2 linked regions of the Xenopus tropicalis genome follow. The protein of the gene in region 1 binds, or shares a complex with, the protein of each later gene. Links are inferred from orthologs where the notes say so. Each region holds a gene or a part of one and is shown on either strand. Other genes may lie near its edges.

Region 1 (4,378 bases):
CTGGGTTGAAACAAGGCCCCTCCGAAGATATTATACAGGGGGCCACTGCCCTGTAGTAATCACCACATTCGAAGGTGGCAGTAGCTTCAGGATTTTGCATTAATAGTGCATTAATAGATGAATTTGCACTTAATTTGGAACAGGAAGTAGGCAGCAGTGCCAATAGCAACTATACAGAAGTGCAAGCAGCCCCTTTTGATGGAAGCACCTTTAACAAATGGGATTTTTTCTGCAATTGACTGTGGCCAATTTATTGGGTACTTGCAGTCGTAACAGACCCGTAATGTGTTATGAGTTGGTCCAGAACTGCAAAGGTCCCTAATTCCAACACCTTTGCTGAGTGGTCTTTTGGCTGGTGTTATAGGCCAAACTGTAAGATCAGTCCAATTTTGCATTCCACGTGTTGCTGCACTATTATCCAGCTGATTGTCCTGTGCAGAAATAGGTCAGATGTTCTGCTCCTTGTCCTGTGTGGACAGCTTTATTGAATTCTACCACAGAATACCAATAACAGATTCAAGGCAATCTATAATCAACTTTTTAAGAATCACTGTTAGATTTTATGCACATTTGAGTGCTGGGAAGTTTTTTGGTAGGTTATGAGTATATTTAGATTTAATAAATAAAATACCATGTCACCCTCTTAATTAATCATAGCTCTTAAAGGCTTCTGAATGACCTTTTATAAAGATATCTAGAATCTTGGCCTTAATATAGCATTGGATTACTGTTCTGTGAGAGAAAGGGAGGGGACTTAAAGGGACAGTAACACCAAAAAATGAAAGTGTATAAAAGTAATTACTATATAATATAATGCTGCCCTGCACTGGTACAACTGGTGTGTTTTCCTTAGAAAGACTACTATAGTTTATATAAGTAAAGCTTCTGTGTAGCCACGGGGGCAGCCATTTACAGGAGAAAAGGCACAGGTTACTTAGCAGATAACAGATAAAACCCCATTATATTCTACAAAGCTTATCTGTTATCTGCGATGTGCCTGTGCCTTTTCTCCTTTTTCCCAGCTTCAATGGCTGCCCCCGTGTTGACATAGCAGCTCATTTATATAAACTATAGTAGCGTTTCTGTTGCAAACTTACCAGTTTTACCAGCGCAGGGCAACAGTACATTATATTTTAATTACTTGAAAACACTTTCATTTTTTGGTGTTACTGTTCCTTTAACTATTTGGTTACACTTTCCATTTAATTAGTATAATGTTACTAATATCAACAATAAATAGGTGTTCTGCAGAGCAAGACTGAGGCCACCCTGTTACATTCCTAATAACAGTGTATAGGCAGTTTAATATGGGAAGGATATACATTATTGATAACTCTTTCATCTCTACCAGTCTTATTGGCATACTCACCCCTCTGTCAAAGTCATACTCATAATAGATGATTTTGGTGTCTGTTAGCACAAATAGTCTCTTCTTAAAGTTAAGAGGTGATGTTTTTCGCTTCTGCTGGGATCTTTTCAAAAAAATACTCTCTAATATACTGGCAGTGGCAGCCATATCTTGTATTCTTCTTATATATGATTAGAGCTATAAGGTCTAGCCGTATCAGCACACCAGAGTGGGGGTTCTGCCTGGCCAGAATCAAATCTAGTTTTCCACACTTGAATAACTTTTATAAGTCTCCTTCCCACATGCTGTAACATTGGAAGCCATGTTCTCACCAGTGAAAGTGATGGAGGTGGTCTGTGAGCAAACTGGAAAAAGAGTAGACAAAGTGGAAATCATTTTTAGATTCTGTTATTGTTCTCTAATTTCTCCCAAATATTTGATAATATTTTCTTTACACACTCACCCCAGGCTTTACACATATATCATCCAGTATGTTTTCCTTCCCACATCATACATTAATTCTGCTCAGTGTATGCCTAGAAATCCTTTCTCATATGTTCTCTACTGAAGCACACCAACTAAGTTTTCTTTCTATGTTCCAAATAAAAATGCACACAAATGTTAAATACTGCCAGTATATTTTCTTTCTAGTTCTATCATTTTCTGCTTCATATGCAAAAAAAGAGAAACAGTAGGGGGCAAAAAAAAGAAATAAACGATATGTAATATCTCCATTAGTCAGCAAAAAATAGCTTATATCCTTGGGCATATTATTTTTAAGCATGGCCTATAGAACACGAGTGCTCTATCATGGCATAGCTCAATCCATAGCTTATCCCCTAATTAGCATCTACTCTGCCTTTTAGTTGCTGTTTCTTGGCATTTTTTATCTGACTCAGCAGCTATTACACTGTACACTTGTACACTGAATGGCTCTTGGATCACGTGGCATATTCGCAGCTGGTGAAGTGCCCAAATGTGGTTGTGTGGTGTGATTCGTCTTAATGGAAACCATTCAATGCTAGTCAAGAATATGCCACATGTGCCATAAGATCAAGACTGAAAAAATTCCACTAACACAGCTCAACTTTGCAGACCTTTCATGTCTTTATCACTCCCATTCAATCTGAGGCAGTGGTTCCCATACTGAGGGGACTGCCTTGCCTAGGAGATATCAAGCAGTGATAACTGCTTTGATATCACTATTTCACTCTCATACATAGAGCAGGTCTCTAAAGGTCTTTTTTTAACATGTTCTCCAAAACTTTTTCTTTTTCCTCATAAATGCTGCCTCAGTTAATTCTGTAGAATTTAACTCAGTATCTGAATGTTTAATAGTAAAACCAAGTACTCACATGAAAAATGCTGGACGTTCTGGTTTGGAAACTCAGTTCAGTAAGACTAAAGCAAACAGTGTGGTAGAGGCAAGGACTGCGCAGAATAACTCTCTGGCTAGGAGGAAGAAGTGCTGGGTGGTGAGATGAGAGTGGGTAGGTCTCTGAATACAGATCATCTGCCAGACAATGTTAAGATGCTTTGCAGAAGGAGGGCAGACCCTGCAGAATGAGAAGCTCTGCATGCTTTTCTTACTTTTTCACAAGACTCCCAGTTCCTCTTTTTAGTTTCCTGTGTCAGGAGCTGGCTTAGTTTGTGCTAATTATGATTACAACATGATGACAAATAAATACTGTGTGGCACAGTACATATGCCCTAATCACAACATTCACTTCTTACTACTCTTAATTACTGTATCGGTCAGTAGAAATTAGCTTCAATTACATTAACAACATAGTCTTTATCTTACTAGAAAAACACCCAACTCCAATTTCCATTTTTAAAACAAAAGAAGGAAATTGTGGTACCTACATGAATAGTCCTGCCCTGGGACCAGTATTTAAGCCTTTTTTTTGCCCGATTAATTGTGCATTGTGCATAACCATAAATCCGGAAAGGTATGTACTAAATCTTTGGCAGGATGACACTTTACTTGCTAAAGACATAGCACTGACCTTGTTGGCAGTCGAATGGTTCAAAGGAATCAAGCTTTTCATTGGAAGCGGGAAGACCAATGAAGAAAAACAATATAAGGAAAACCTCTAATACCCTTAAAACCTATGTTTCTAAAGAGTTCTAGTAAATATTCGTAACTATGTTATCAATTGGAATTTACACAACCTACAGTTCAAACCCCCAGCCCAGCTGGCTTCCATTTGTTTAGTGTTTAGAAATTCTAAACCCATTGCCACATACTGCATCCCTTTGTAGATAATGATAAGATGACCACGTGATCTCCCCTACTACCCTCCCTGGTTGGGCTCCTCTGGCCTTCCTCTAACCTTGCACCCCTGGGTAAGAGCCATTGAGTGGATCACCAAGAGGATATAGACTGCTGCTGCACATAGCAACGACTGATAACTGCTTGTGCATATGTCAATGGTGGGAGTGGCCGATACATAAGCCCAAACCTTTTTATAATAAACTATTTTTTTTTTGCACAAATTGTAAAAAGAAGAAGCAGATAATTGTTAATGTGAGAGTATTAAAAGGGAAAGCCTTTATCAATGATGGAAAGTCAAGGAGTCAATTAACACTTTTGCTAGAATAAGCAGGACTCACTGTAGGATACAAGAAATCTAAAGTTGGGAGGGACTTGACCACCTAAAAAAAGCAGAGTAGGATGATGCAAAAGATTTAAATCAGGTATTTGTAAAGGTTTACAACCAAATTTCAACATTTAAAGGAAAAGTTCACCTTGACAAAATCAAGGGCTCCTGATGAACCACATTTATTAACACAATGCTTTCTTAAGGCTTTCTTAAAAGTGGTATTTAGAATTAAATGTTACTACTTTGATAAGGAAGTATAATGTGTTGCAATGCAACCAAGGGGCAATTAATGAATTATACAAATACAACCTGTAGTGAAATGTACCCCTTTGGAGTGATCAGGAAGGCGTCTAGAAGTAGCTGTGCCATCTTATGTAGTTTCATACCAATGTTGTTATTATACAGGTATGGGATCCCTTATCCA
Region 2 (4,283 bases), on another chromosome or scaffold:
TATTTTATATAGATTGTAAGCTCTACGGGGCAGGGACCTCCATCCTTTTTTGTCTTTGACTCTTAACTTATTGCAGCTGTATTTATCTTGTATTTATTTGTATTTATTGTTGTACTTTGTATTTATCTATTATTATCTTAATAACCCCGTTTGTATTATTCTACTGTACAGCTCTGCGTACATAAGTAGCGCTTTATAAATTAAGATATACATACATACATTTTTGGGCTACTTTCAAAGTGGCTTTTGGCTAGTTTTGGGCTAGTTTTAGAACTGACTTTGGCTAGTTTGGAAAAATCTGGCTACCCTGCAGTACAGCCTTTCTTTTTCTCCCTCATAAATTTAAATGGAGTACTAATTGTAAGCTCTTTTGGGCAGGGCTCTCTTCCCCTCCTGTATCGGTTATTGATTGCTTTATATGTTACTCTGTATGCCCAATGTATGAAATGCAGTAATTCCTTGTAGAGTGTAAGCTCTTTTGGGCAGGGCTCTCTTCACCTCTTGTATCGGTTATTGATTGCTTTATATGTTACTCTGTATGCCCAATGTATGAAATGCAGTAATTCCTTGTAGAGTGTAAGCTCTTTTGGGCAGGGCTCTCTTCCCCTCTTGTATCGGTTACTGATTGCTTTATATGTTACTCTGTATGTCAATGTATGAAATGCAGTAATTCCTTGTAGAGTGTAAGCTCTTTGGGCAGGGCTCCCTTCCCTCCTGTTATCGGTTAACTGATTGCTTTATATGTTACTCTTGTATGTCCAATGTAATGAAATGCAGTAATTCCTTGTAGAGTGTAAGCTCTTTTGGGCAGGGCTCCCTTTCCCCTCTGTATCGGTACTGATTGCTTTATAATGTTACTTCTGTATGGCCCAACATGTATGAAATGCAGTAATTCCTTGTAGAGTGAAGCTCTTTTGGGGAGAGGCTCTCTTCCCCTGACCTGGTATCCGGTTACTGATTGCTTTATATGTTACTCTGTATGTCCAATGTATGAAACCCACTTATTGTACAGCGCTGCGGGATATGTTGGCGCTTTATAAATAAATGTTAATAATAATAATAATCAGCCATTCTGGTAAATAATTACATAGTTTTTCCCCTGTGTAAATCCCAGCTTGCACACGCCATGAGTTAGGAAACTCCCCGGACTGGAATGAAAGCCAAAGAATGACACTAGTTCCACAAATGACAGCTTCCCACGCTTGGAAAGTCCCCGGATAGATTACAATGAATAACCTTTATCATACGAGAAACGAATCGTCATGAATGTATAAAGAAATTCATGCATAGGATATTCTAAATAAATTGGTCAAAACTATTTTTAATTCGTATTAAACATTACCACGTCATATACAATTACACGTACTGCGCAAGCGCAGATCTAGTTTAGCCGGCGCCATGGTACAGTCGAGGTAAGGGAGCGCTGCGGCTGTGTTTCTCTGTGTAGCTTGTGATTCCCGCGTTTTATATCGCTACGGTGGATTTTTATTGACGATTAAGCGGAAGAATGCGGCGGTGGCAGGAAAACGAGAAAAAAAAATCGGACGCAAAGGCATAGAGAGAAAATGGTCGCGGCGTTCCCTGTTGGAGTAAGCTTACTTTAGGGAAGCGATACCAGTTGTGCTCCGCAACCGGGCATACCCGGGTGCAAGTAATTTCTTTGGGCACAGGTTTAAATGGACAGGACGTATTGGCATGCGTCACGCCCCGCCCCCGCTCACAAGGTTTTCTATAAATTGTTTGTGCGACACAGTTTCTCCCTCAGAAAGTAAGAGAGCTCTGTCTCCAGCCCGTCGCCCTCCCTCCCATCAGCACAGGGTGTGGGCGCTGCTGAAATAGTTGTTACGTAAGTAATTTCCTTGCTCCCTTCTGTGATTGGGCAGCTTGCGGGTTCCCCGCCCCTTCTGTGATAGGCAGCTTGCGGTTTTCCCCGCCCCCTTCTGTGATAGGCAGTTATGAACAATGCAGCCTGAGTCTATTGGCGGATTGGTTGTGGGAGCGATGTCAATCTTTTTTTCGCTTGTAATGGCTTTTGCTGTACCGGACGATGTTACGAAGTTACGATGGAGGCTGCTAATGAAAGAATTGTTAGCATGATATAACCGTGTGGCATTGTTTGTACAGTAGCTTCTAGCGATACGTGGCAGCTTGGCCCCTGCTCCACATGAAGGCTGTGTGTAGCGACCCCCTTGCCTCTGTGTGTGGCTGCCCCAAGGGTGACTAAACGGAATGTCTAGTTATTTTAACTACTCTTTGTGCTTTTTCTTTTTTTAACCAATAGATATTTTTGTAATACAGCTCTCTGGTTTAAAAAGAATGCTTGTTGCTATGGCTTTGTTAGGTTGGCAACCAGACTATGGTACTTATGAGGGAATAAAGGCAGAAGGTGCTAAAGAAAATCTAGCCTTGGGATTGATCTCCTTTTCTACCAATAAAAGAGGAATAATTGGAAGTTGTCTCACAGTATGGATAATACCAAATGGATTAATGCTATAATGTAATTGTATAGCTTATTTCCCCTTTAAACATCCAGCTCAGCTCATGTTCCTGAATGGTACCTCACAAGCAGTCATCTAATGGATTTCTGTCACCATAAGATCATACAAATGGTTACTTGTAATAGAATGACCTATTAGCAGCTTTTTTTTTTAATTATTTGCCATTCTTTTTCTGCTTATTTCAGGAAAGCCAAAGAACATACGCTCTGTGAGGCTAAAGTTCTAAGGTTGCTTTGTATTATACTTTTTTAAATTCAGCCCCTGTCCTATTAATCTTCCAGTCTGGCTTTCAAACCACTGCCTGGTTGCTAGGCTAAACTGAAACACTAGCTGGTTTCTAAAGTAAATTGGAACACTTACTGCTCAGCACCCAGATGGCTGCCTCAATTCTACACTGAAAAAAAACAAAATGAAGCCTAATTGCAAATTGTTTCTAAATACCACTGTCTACATCTAAAGCTGGCCATACACGCACCGATAATATCGTATGAAACCTTGTTTCGTACGATATTCGGTGCGTGTATGGCATGTTGGCGAGCTGAATGGTGTGTGGCGGATCTGGCGATGTTTCGTGCGACCGATGGTTGCATGAAAGATCGTCAGATCGCCACGTGTGTGGCCACCTTAAAGGAACAGTAACACCAAAAAATTTATATATTTTAAAGAAATTAAACTATAATGTACTGCTGCCCTGCACTGGTAAAAGTTTTATGTTTGCTTCAGAAACATTACTAGAGTTTATATAAACCCTGGTGTGTAGCCATGGGGGCAGCCATTCAAAAGAAGAAAAGGCACAGGTTATACAGCAGCTAACAGATAAACCCTGTAGAATACAATGGTGTCTTATCTGTTATCTGCTATGTAACCTGTGCCTTTTTTCCAGCTTGAATGCTGCCCCCATGGCTACACAGCAGCTTATTTATATAAACTATAGTAGTGTTCCTGAAGCAAACACACCAGTTTTACCAGTGCAGGGCCACAGCACATTATATTTCCATTACTTTAAAACACTTTTATTTTTTGGTGTTACTGTTCCTTTAAGGGTGAAGACACACAGAGCTACTAGAAGCAGCTACTTGTCAGACAATGCTGATCATTTACTGATAATTGTCTTTTTTTTAAAAGGTGTTTATTTTTCATTTTAAGAACAATACAACATATACAGACATTAGCTACAAACAATGTAGCTGTTAACTTTTGCAGTCAAATTAGCAAGGTACAGTACAAAGAATTGTTGTTGTTTTATTGTTTCAGCTGTTATAGGATCATATACATTTACCATAGCTTACTATCGGTCTGGATTCAATCATTTCTGTTAGATGGTAGTTATGTTTTAGATTGCGGGTCATCGCTACCCATTCTGCTATTGTGGGTGCAATAGGACTCATCCATTTCATGATAAGTAATTTTTTTGCGTAGAACAGTGTTGCCCTCATTAAGTTTCTGGGTTGATTTTGTGGAACTAGCTCGTCTATCAGACCTAGGAGGCATACTTCTGGGGTCCTGACTCTAGGTAGGATTAGTTGTTCGTTGAGATATTGTATGATTCCAGACCAGTAGTTAGCTATGTGGATGCAGTCCCATACCATATGGATAAATCCTGCGTTGACATTGTGACATTTAGGACATTCTGCATTTGGTGATCTGCCCATAGCTTTAAGTCTGGTTGGGGTGATATATACTTGGTGGTAGAATTTGAATTGTATAACTCTATCTCTAGTGGCTATGAGAAAATCGTATATGTGGTCCGTTGCTTCTTCCCATTGCTCCTCGTTTAGTTGTGGG

Evidence for each region.
Region 2: the proteins of btk (region 1) and birc2 are in contact, whole or in part, in a crystal structure (PDB 6W7O), measured with the Homo sapiens proteins. The link is inferred for Xenopus tropicalis from reciprocal best matches to the Homo sapiens genes BTK and BIRC2. Residues at the interface, in NP_000052.1 of Homo sapiens: Leu483, Asn484, Arg487, Glu488, Tyr551, Ser557, Lys558, Arg562, Lys595, Met596, Tyr598, Glu599, Arg600, Phe601, Thr602, Glu605; in NP_001157.1 of Homo sapiens: Pro280, Ser281, Ser282, Asn301, Asp302, Asp303, Arg314, Cys315, Glu317, Ser318.

Annotation. Positions count from the first base shown.
Region 1 is NC_030684.2:37,635,489-37,639,866, reverse strand, and holds the start of btk (tyrosine-protein kinase BTK), read right to left. Parts: upstream 2,829-4,378; 5' UTR 2,704-2,828; intron 1,940-2,703; exon of another isoform or gene 1,812-1,939; intron 1,714-1,811; 5' UTR 1,517-1,713; coding exon 1,370-1,516; intron 1-1,369. UniProt on the Homo sapiens protein: Non-receptor tyrosine kinase indispensable for B lymphocyte development, differentiation and signaling. Binding of antigen to the B-cell antigen receptor (BCR) triggers signaling that ultimately leads to B-cell activation.
Region 2 is NC_030678.2:162,216,054-162,220,336, reverse strand, and holds the start of birc2 (baculoviral IAP repeat-containing protein 2), read left to right. Parts: upstream 1-1,388; 5' UTR 1,389-1,412; intron 1,413-1,741; exon of another isoform or gene 1,742-1,846; intron 1,847-4,283. UniProt on the Homo sapiens protein: Multi-functional protein which regulates not only caspases and apoptosis, but also modulates inflammatory signaling and immunity, mitogenic kinase signaling, and cell proliferation, as well as cell invasion and metastasis.